Linked DNA regions of Danio rerio. The protein of the gene in region 1 interacts with the protein of each later gene in a biochemical or structural test. Links are inferred from orthologs where the notes say so. Each region holds a gene or a part of one and is shown in the gene's direction. Other genes may lie near its edges.

Region 1 (4,266 bases):
AAATGAAAATACACACATTGTCCCACCTGGTAAAATGATTACTGTTAGTTACAGGTTTGACAATTAAAGCTGTTAAAGCCATAAGTCAGAGATGCCCAAAGTAGGGCCCACGGGCCAAAGTTGGCCCATGGTAACCTTTGATTTGGCTCGCCATACCATCTGAATAGAGAGGGAGAATGATGGGGAGGTGGTGGGGCGGATGCTTTGGACAGAGATCGTCATTTTGAATTGAACGTAGTCTTTTGTTTCTTTGTTTTATTGCTGAGCTAAAAACCCCACCTGAAATTAAATGATAGGATTAAATGTTGTAAATGTTCACTTTTAAAATGTGAAAACTGTCTCTTGACACAGATAGAGGACAACGCACAAGTCTTCTACGAGCAAATCAAGGTGAGGGCAGGTGCAGCTTCACTGTATTCTCCTTTGAACTCCATTTAGTCATAAATAAGATTGTTTATGTTGTTACTCTATTAGTTCAGTATAAAATGTTACAATTTATACTGCGTTAGTTAATATGACTTAAAGCAACATTTTTAGGAATAAAACAAACAGTTCACCTCAGCCAAAAGTTAAAATGGGCTTTTAATTTACTCTCAGGTCTTTCATAGTGTCTTTTTTAGTTGAACTTTAAGGATGATTTAGCACAAAAGGTGGTCTTTGGTCATGCAAGGTCTTTTAGTATAAAAGAAACAAATAAATAACAAAAACCATGTAATTAAAATATATAAACAAATATTTATTTTCAATACTATTTATTGTATTATTTTAATTAGTCATTATTATATTATGCAATTAATATTTTATACCCACAATATTTAATATTTAAAAAGTGTCTTATATTACAAAAGCAGAAGGATTTCATATTATAGCCTACATTCGCATTGGAGTCCCTAGCACAAGAATGATCATATATGAGGGTCTTTTAAAGACTGAAAATCTTTGTCTTTGATTACTTATTGTTCTCATCAGTAAATGGTTTTAAACAAGTGTCTGTCAAAAGATTGACTGGAATTTTTTGTGATAGTACACTTTCACATGTGGATATTATTATATCAAATGTTAAACATATTGTTACTGTATTACCATTATTACTTAGACTACTTTTATTTCGGTTGTTGTTATAATAATGATTATTTATTGTAATAATCGTTGTTATAACTGTTTCAAATCTCTCTTTACTGGCACCACGTGGCTCCATAGTAAGTCTGGAGTGACGTCACAGAGGGGAGCCGTGCGCGAACACAGTGTGGGCGGAGTCAAGGCCAGGAAAAACGCCTTTTTATCCTTTTAAACGCGTCTGACATGCGCAGTGGTTTGAAATTCGGGCTTGGTCTGTTACACAACTGTGTCTTTCTTCATTCTGCCCACAGCTCCTCGCCGGCATTTTATATTAACAGGCTTTTAACTGTGTTATTTTAAAAACAAGACCCATAAAAATGAGTGGGGACCATTCCCACAACGATTCCCAGGTAAAGTGTTTGTGCTTTGTGGTTGTCAGTTATCTTTTTTCTTTCTTGATGCTTTGTAGTCACTAGCTCGGCTGTTTAAATTCCATCCGCAGCGGCAGTTTTCCACCAGCATGCTAAGCTAACAGACAGTGGAAGTCGGCTTTGATTGTGTTAATGGAGTATTTTCTATCACTCGCGGCTTTACTTTTAATAATGTCCCCTATCAAAGACTTCATTTTGGGAATACAAACTTTGTATGCTCTTCTGTCCCTCGCAGCGGTGGTATTTAAACGTTGTTGTATGAACAGGCTTGTTAGCTTGAGCGCTAACCGCCGACTAGCATCAAGTTGAAAGTTAGCAGCCTATTGACATGGCACGATTTAACATTAACTGTACACCACTGTTTTTCCGCAGATCGACTCGGGATCCAGACATAATGGTGAGTGGGATTCGTCTAATCGCCACGTTGTGATTAAAATACAATTTCATACGTTTTAAACCTCTAACGCTTGCTTGACGACCAGTTAGTTTTAAGGACAGAAATGGCGTCCCAGAGACTAAGTCCCCTCTCGCTCACTGACAAGCGCCTATTGTTCACATTGAGCCCTTTTAAAACGCTTTTACAATGCTTCAAAACCAACAAAAAATGTCTCTTTCGAAAGAGAAAGAGATTATTTGTCAGTTGGCGTCGTTTGAGCGTTTTTGGAAGATGGACAATAAGCAAACGAGGCTTGTGAAAGTGAGGTTTTGGGGGTTGAGGACTTAGTCTCTGCGCCATTTTCTTTTTCTCTGTCTAGCGGTCTGAGTGTAGTGAACGTTAAGTGCACATCGACGTGATTATGGAGGCGAAGGATTGAGAAACGTGGGTGACCTGTTCTGAATCCTCTCACCAAAATAAACATGTCGACCTCAAATACATCTTAAATCGATAAAATGTGATGAAATAAAACAAATGTTCACAAATCAAATCAGTAAGTAATTATTCAGGAATTGGCTATGATGCACGTTTTTTTTGTCTTGATGTGTGCTGTAATTAAATATGCGTAAAAAAAATTAAAAATTGCATCCAGATTTAGTAAACTTAAACGAACCGCTAATGAGGGATTTCATTGGTCCTAAACCTGATTTCACAGTGTCATTGGTCAGATCAGTTGGGTCATGCAGGTTCAAAACATGGTCATTCAGAGACATAAATTGTCAATTTACACAATTATAAATTGTTTGTTTTTACATAAAACTTATAATAAAACATTTTCTATATAGTTTTAACTTGCCATGGCATTAACTAAAGTACTTTAACACCTGACACATTTCTTTTGTCCATGCACCAAATGTCTGTTAACGTTTTAGGTCCATAACTTTACTATAACAAGTTCTTGTAAACCCGAGGTGGCAATGAAACAATAAAATGAAAAATACTTGACCTTTTTTTATACATTTTCAGTTTAAAAGATTTTAATACTTGTATATTATTTAATGCATTATGATCAGTTTAGTTGTTTTTATGTTAATGAGAAGAAATTTAAGAATGTAGTGCTTGCATTTGATCACATGATCTAACTGCATTATCTGTTAACCGTAAAGGAGTATTGATTGTGTATTGATAACATCTAGGCCTACCCAATATTGAAAAAACCTGATATTGTGATATTTTATGGTTCTGCAATTAAATATTGGTTTGAAGAGCTCTATTTGCTGGTTTTCTGGGGAGTCTAACAGTATTCACGTACAGAAATTGAATTATCACAATGCAAAAAAATGCTTTTCTTCCTTTGGTTCGTCTCATTTCTAGTCCAAATAGCAAAACCTTTTCAGTTCAAGTAAAAATATAGTTTTATTTTAAAATTTTAATTTATTAAAAAAAAAGTTTTTAAAGCTAAATTCTCTCAGTGGATAAAATCTTAACAAACAAGTAAAATCTTGTTTTTGTGTTGAAATTTATGTGTAAAAAAAAAAAAGTAAGAATTCTGTATAAATACAGTAATTAAATACAATTCTGTAGCCACTCGGTTAACTATAATCCAGACTCAACATTGCATGTCTTGAGATGTGAATATTGAGTATTAGCACATTGTGATATTGGTGCTGAAACGATATATTGCGCAGCCCTAGTAACATTTTAGTTCTCTGTGACACAAGAACTGATAATCAAGTGTGTAATCTATAAATTCATTTCCTTTTTTTTTAGGCCATTAGTAACATTTTGGTCACTGTCTATTATATATTGTTAGTAGTAGTTTTTTTATATATACTCAAATCGATATTAAAAACAATAATGGAAGTTCAAATATATTTTTCTTCCTTCGCTCCTTTTTTACCAAGCAAAATCACAGCTGAACTTGACAGCCAGCCATTATGCTGTTTTGTTGCACTTTGATAATTAATTTTTTGGCCAACTGGGAAATATGAGAGTTGGCAAATTATTTCTGCTTCAGTGTTTTAAAAGTGCCACAGAGTTTCCAAAATAAAAATAAAACCTACAATAATTATGCATGTAATCTCATGAAATATTTTTATTTCAAATCTTATTTTACCCTTTTCTCCGCTCCCTTCATCCCCATTTCTTACTCTGAGCATGATGCTTCTGGTGAATATTCTGCTTTCCTCCAGAGCGTTTATGAGCATTTAACCATTGCTGTGCTAATACATGAACTGCCTGTTCACACCATGCCACTGTGGTTGTCACTATAGGGAGATAAAAAAAAAGTAAATCAGTGTCTGTCACAAATAAAATTAGACTATTTAATAAACGGTGACACAGCGTGAAAATTGTTTCTTTGTGCTTTGCAGGTTTTGTGCGTATCTGCACACAATGTTT
Region 2 (4,315 bases), on another chromosome or scaffold:
ACACACACACACACACACACACACACACACACAGACACACACACATATATATATATATATATATATATATATATATATATATATATATATATATATATATATATATATATATATATATATATGGTAATGACATACCAATATATACTAATCATACTTGAAACATACTCAGAACACCTTAGCAACCACCTAGCAACCACTCAAAACACCTTAGCAACCACCTAGCAACACCTTAGAAATGACCTAGCAACTGCTAGCAACATCTTAGTAACCACCTGAAACACCTGAAACACCCTAGCAACCACCTAGCAATGCCTTGCAATGACACACACACACACACACACATATATATATATGGCAATGCTTTAGCAACCACTCAGAATTCCCAGGCAACACCTTAGCAACGGCCTAGCAACCAATCAGAGCATGCTAGCAACCACCTAGCAACACATAAGCAACGAGCTAGATCATCTATAGCAACCACCTAACACCTCCTTAGCAACCACTCAGAACACATCAACCGACTAGCAACATCTTAGTAACCACCTAGAACACCCTAGCAACTGCCTAGAAACACCTTAGCTACCGCCTAGCAAAACCTTAGCAACCACTCAGAACACATAAGCAACCACCTAGCAACGTCTTAGAAACCACCTGGAACACCCTAACAACTTCCTAGTAATGCCTTAGCAACAACTCAGAAGTCCCAGGCAACACCTTAGCAACCGCCTAGCAATGCCTTAGCAACTACTTATTAACACCTTAGCAACCACTCAGAACACCCTAACAACTGGCTAGCAACACCTTAGCAACCAATCAGAACAACCAAACAACTGAGTTGCAATGCCTTGCCAACTGCATAGCAACCACTGAGAACCCCTAGCAACATACCAAACTATATTGGAAACATGCTAATCTTTTGATAACTGTTTCAAACTTAAAACACTTCAGTTATTTAAACTTCACACTTTCAGACTCGGCTTTCTCAAGAGACCAAGTTTGTCTACGAACTTTAAATTTCTAGTTCATTCATTCATTCATTCATTCATTCATTCATTCATTCATACTGTTCAATGAGCGCAAAAAAATCAGAAAAAAACTGTTCAAAAGAACCGAATGGAGATAACGAGTCTGAACAGCAGCGACTCGGTTCACATTGAGCTTCGTGAACGCGCATATGGTAAACGTCATGGGTGTAGTGGGCGGGGTTTTTCAGGACGTACTAAAAGCGTATCGAGCGCTCTTTTCTGTCCTGTAGAGAGAAACACGTGTGACTGAACGGTTCTTACCATCTCTCTCTTTCAGTTATCAGCTTTACTGTAAAAACAGCCCTCAGTCATGGTAAAGCTCGCTAAGGTAAGATATTACCGTCAATCCGTTATTGTCGCTTTAAATGCAGCACGGATCTCAAAATGCGTATTTTCCTGTTTTTATTTTTACATTTGGCGAGAAGGCCCATGTGTGTGAGTTATATTTAGTTTAACATATATAATATTCGTCGGAATGTAAGGTTAAATATTCAAATACTTATTTAAGGATCAGTATTGACGGCTAAAATGAGCTAGCGTGTGTTTTCTGCTTTTCCTGTTTGTGAAGGTAACATGGCCGACCACGCTTCTGCATTTGCAGGCCTCAACAAACACGCATGATGAACATGCGTGGTGAATTTTAAGAAGACTCGTTTTGTGATGTTGTAAAAACAAATTGCGTTGATTAATAAACCCTGGGGAGGTGTTAATGTGTCGTGGATTTAGCTCCAAGGCATTTGTTCGCCATGCGTGGAAAGTAGCTAAATGCTAAACGCCTCCATTTTGGCTCTCTGTAGTGAATGTGGGGGCATTTAACACGTATAAGACCGTGCACTAAACACAATTGCGTTTTAACTCGTGTTTCACTGTTTATATGAGTCAAGTATGTAAATGCGGCACGAAATTTAATTTAATTACGTTATTTCTACTTCGCTGTAGGGTTAACGTGTGTTTTCCACGTGTTACGTTCAACCCACGTGGGATGATCCACGCGGGGAGTTTCGCGAGCAGTACTTTACTTTTTGAGTACTTTGTTACAGATCCATACTTAAGAAATATTCATTAACAGTCATAATTTTATTTTAGTTTATTATTTGTATAAGTACATTATTTACATTAAGTCATGCACTTAATAGTCAAATTTTAAAAGGTTGTACCACGAATGAATTATATGCAAAATCTCCAATAACACGTGTTACACCTTTAGTGATTGAAAGGTAAAAATGTTGGATTTTAGGAACCAATCTAAATATTTTAATTGGTGTTGTGCCAGTCTTGTATTTATCTTTTTTTTTTTTTTTTTTTTTTTTTTTGCACATTTGTCTTATAAATGTATTAATACTAAAGATGAAAAGTTTTAGATGAGAATTCAGATTTTTATGCGAAATCTTACGCTTGTTTATGCAAGATTGTGTTTGTGTTTTAAACATGCACAAGTTACCTGTGAACTTAATGAATGCCAAGTCTTGTTAAATGTACACAAGTCAACATTTGAGGATGGTTAAGACCTTTCATTGGTCAACTATGTCTGTCTTGAGACAACTTGGGTGTACTTTTTTTTTTCCCCCCCTAGATGTTTAGTTTATTTGACCCTTTCATAGCCCTAACTGCAAGAGCTAAGGGGGATGTGCGATTTGGAGAAAATGTCTTGATTGCAATTTTTGTTTTGACAGATTTTTTTGATTTGAGTCAAGATTCAGCTCAGTCTGTTTCACTGCATAGATATGATTATTATTATATATGTTATTATATATTAATAATATTAATTTCACCATTTATTCAAATTAGTTGTTAAATATTCAGAAATTGAAATCATTTTTCGCTTGAGCAAACAGTAAGATAAAAAAAATTACCTTTCCTTTTTGTGCATCAGCTCAAAGTAAGGAGATGATGTAGCTTATTTAAGGTATCTGCAGAATTGTAAAGTTTTAAAATTAAATATATATGAATTTTAGGCCTTAAAGTCTTTAATCCGCTGCACTATTGTGTTGTAGGTCTTAATTTTAAACTGGTCTTAATTTTCCTCTGTAAAGCTATACCCAATCAGGACAGCACCCGTCTAATAACTAACATTATATTTCATAAGTTTAAAAAAAACATCATTTACACTATTTGCATATTAATATGGTTTTATTTATCTTTGCAAAAACATTTGTTTTTAATGATATGGTTTTAACTTGGCCATTAAAAAATCTTTAGTGTTTAGCCTTGTGCAAGTCTGAATTGGTCTTAAATTTGACTTGCTGGAACTTGTAGACACCTTGTTATTATACTTACAATAATATAATAATTGTGAAAGTACACTCCGCAAATTAATGAGACCGATAAGAGGCAGATTGAAAAGTTCTGATTGGGCAGAACGAAAGTGTGCTCACTCAATCGGCTAGTAAGACTTGACATTTGCTCTGAGTGTGGGACATTAAGTACATATTCTACATCGTAGTGCATTAAATCAGAATAATTGTCACTGATTTAAGTGAACATTTGTATAAAAATTCATGTAGGGTTTTTTTTTTCATTAATATATATATAATGACATTTGAGATTTCAAGTGTGAAAAGATTAATAATGGATCATGCTATAAACATGGTGACATTCAGAATTTTGTATTCTTGTCAGCTTTACCAATTGTAAGTTTCTAATTCAATGCAATATGGTTTCAGCTATGACTGTTTATGAAGTATGAACGCTGAGCATACAGATGTATTAAATTTATTGCACTTTTAAAGCTTTATATAGCCTAAACAAGAGTAGCCACACCTCATGATCTCCAAACAAATGCTGAAGTGAAAGCGTTCGAATGCATCAAGATTGAATGTGTCATTGATTGAAGCTTAAACTATATGCTGTCATTTCTGCATAATGGCATCTAGCTAATTTATAAAGGGTGGAACTCGTGTTTAATACATGCACAAGTGCTAAAACAATCTGTTAAATCTTTCTTGCACCGCAGGACTGAAACTGAAACTGAAACCATTTGAGGTTTCTGTTGACTAAATGTGCAAAGCTTTGACTGTCTAGTTGCTAAATCAATTTCTAATCGCACAAATCAACATTTAAATTAATATTTTCATTGCTTGTTTGTTACAGGCAGCTAAAAAAGATGCGCCGCCGAAGAAAAAGGCACCTCCACCTCCTAAAGAAGTGGAAGAGGAATCCAGCGAGGAGGACAGTGATGACGATGAGGAAGAAGAGGTGAGGAGGCTGACAAATAATGCGCTTTATTTTTTTCCTGTTGCTATTGAAAGGTATTTAATGAACTGTGTATTCGGCAGGCACCACCAGTCAAA

Evidence for each region.
Region 2: the proteins of top1a (region 1) and ncl form a complex in vitro, tested with the Homo sapiens proteins (2 studies listed by BioGRID and IntAct). The link is inferred for Danio rerio from reciprocal best matches to the Homo sapiens genes TOP1 and NCL.

Annotation. Positions count from the first base shown.
Region 1 is NC_133186.1:27,367,284-27,371,549, forward strand, and holds the start of top1a (DNA topoisomerase I, like), read left to right. Parts: upstream 1-1,316; 5' UTR 1,317-1,436; coding exon 1,437-1,469; intron 1,470-1,862; coding exon 1,863-1,887; intron 1,888-4,266. UniProt on the Homo sapiens protein: Releases the supercoiling and torsional tension of DNA introduced during the DNA replication and transcription by transiently cleaving and rejoining one strand of the DNA duplex.
Region 2 is NC_133197.1:38,758,457-38,762,771, reverse strand, and holds the start of ncl (nucleolin), read left to right. Parts: upstream 1-1,201; 5' UTR 1,202-1,335; coding exon 1,336-1,353; intron 1,354-4,115; coding exon 4,116-4,220; intron 4,221-4,300; coding exon 4,301-4,315. UniProt on the Homo sapiens protein: Nucleolin is the major nucleolar protein of growing eukaryotic cells. It is found associated with intranucleolar chromatin and pre-ribosomal particles. It induces chromatin decondensation by binding to histone H1.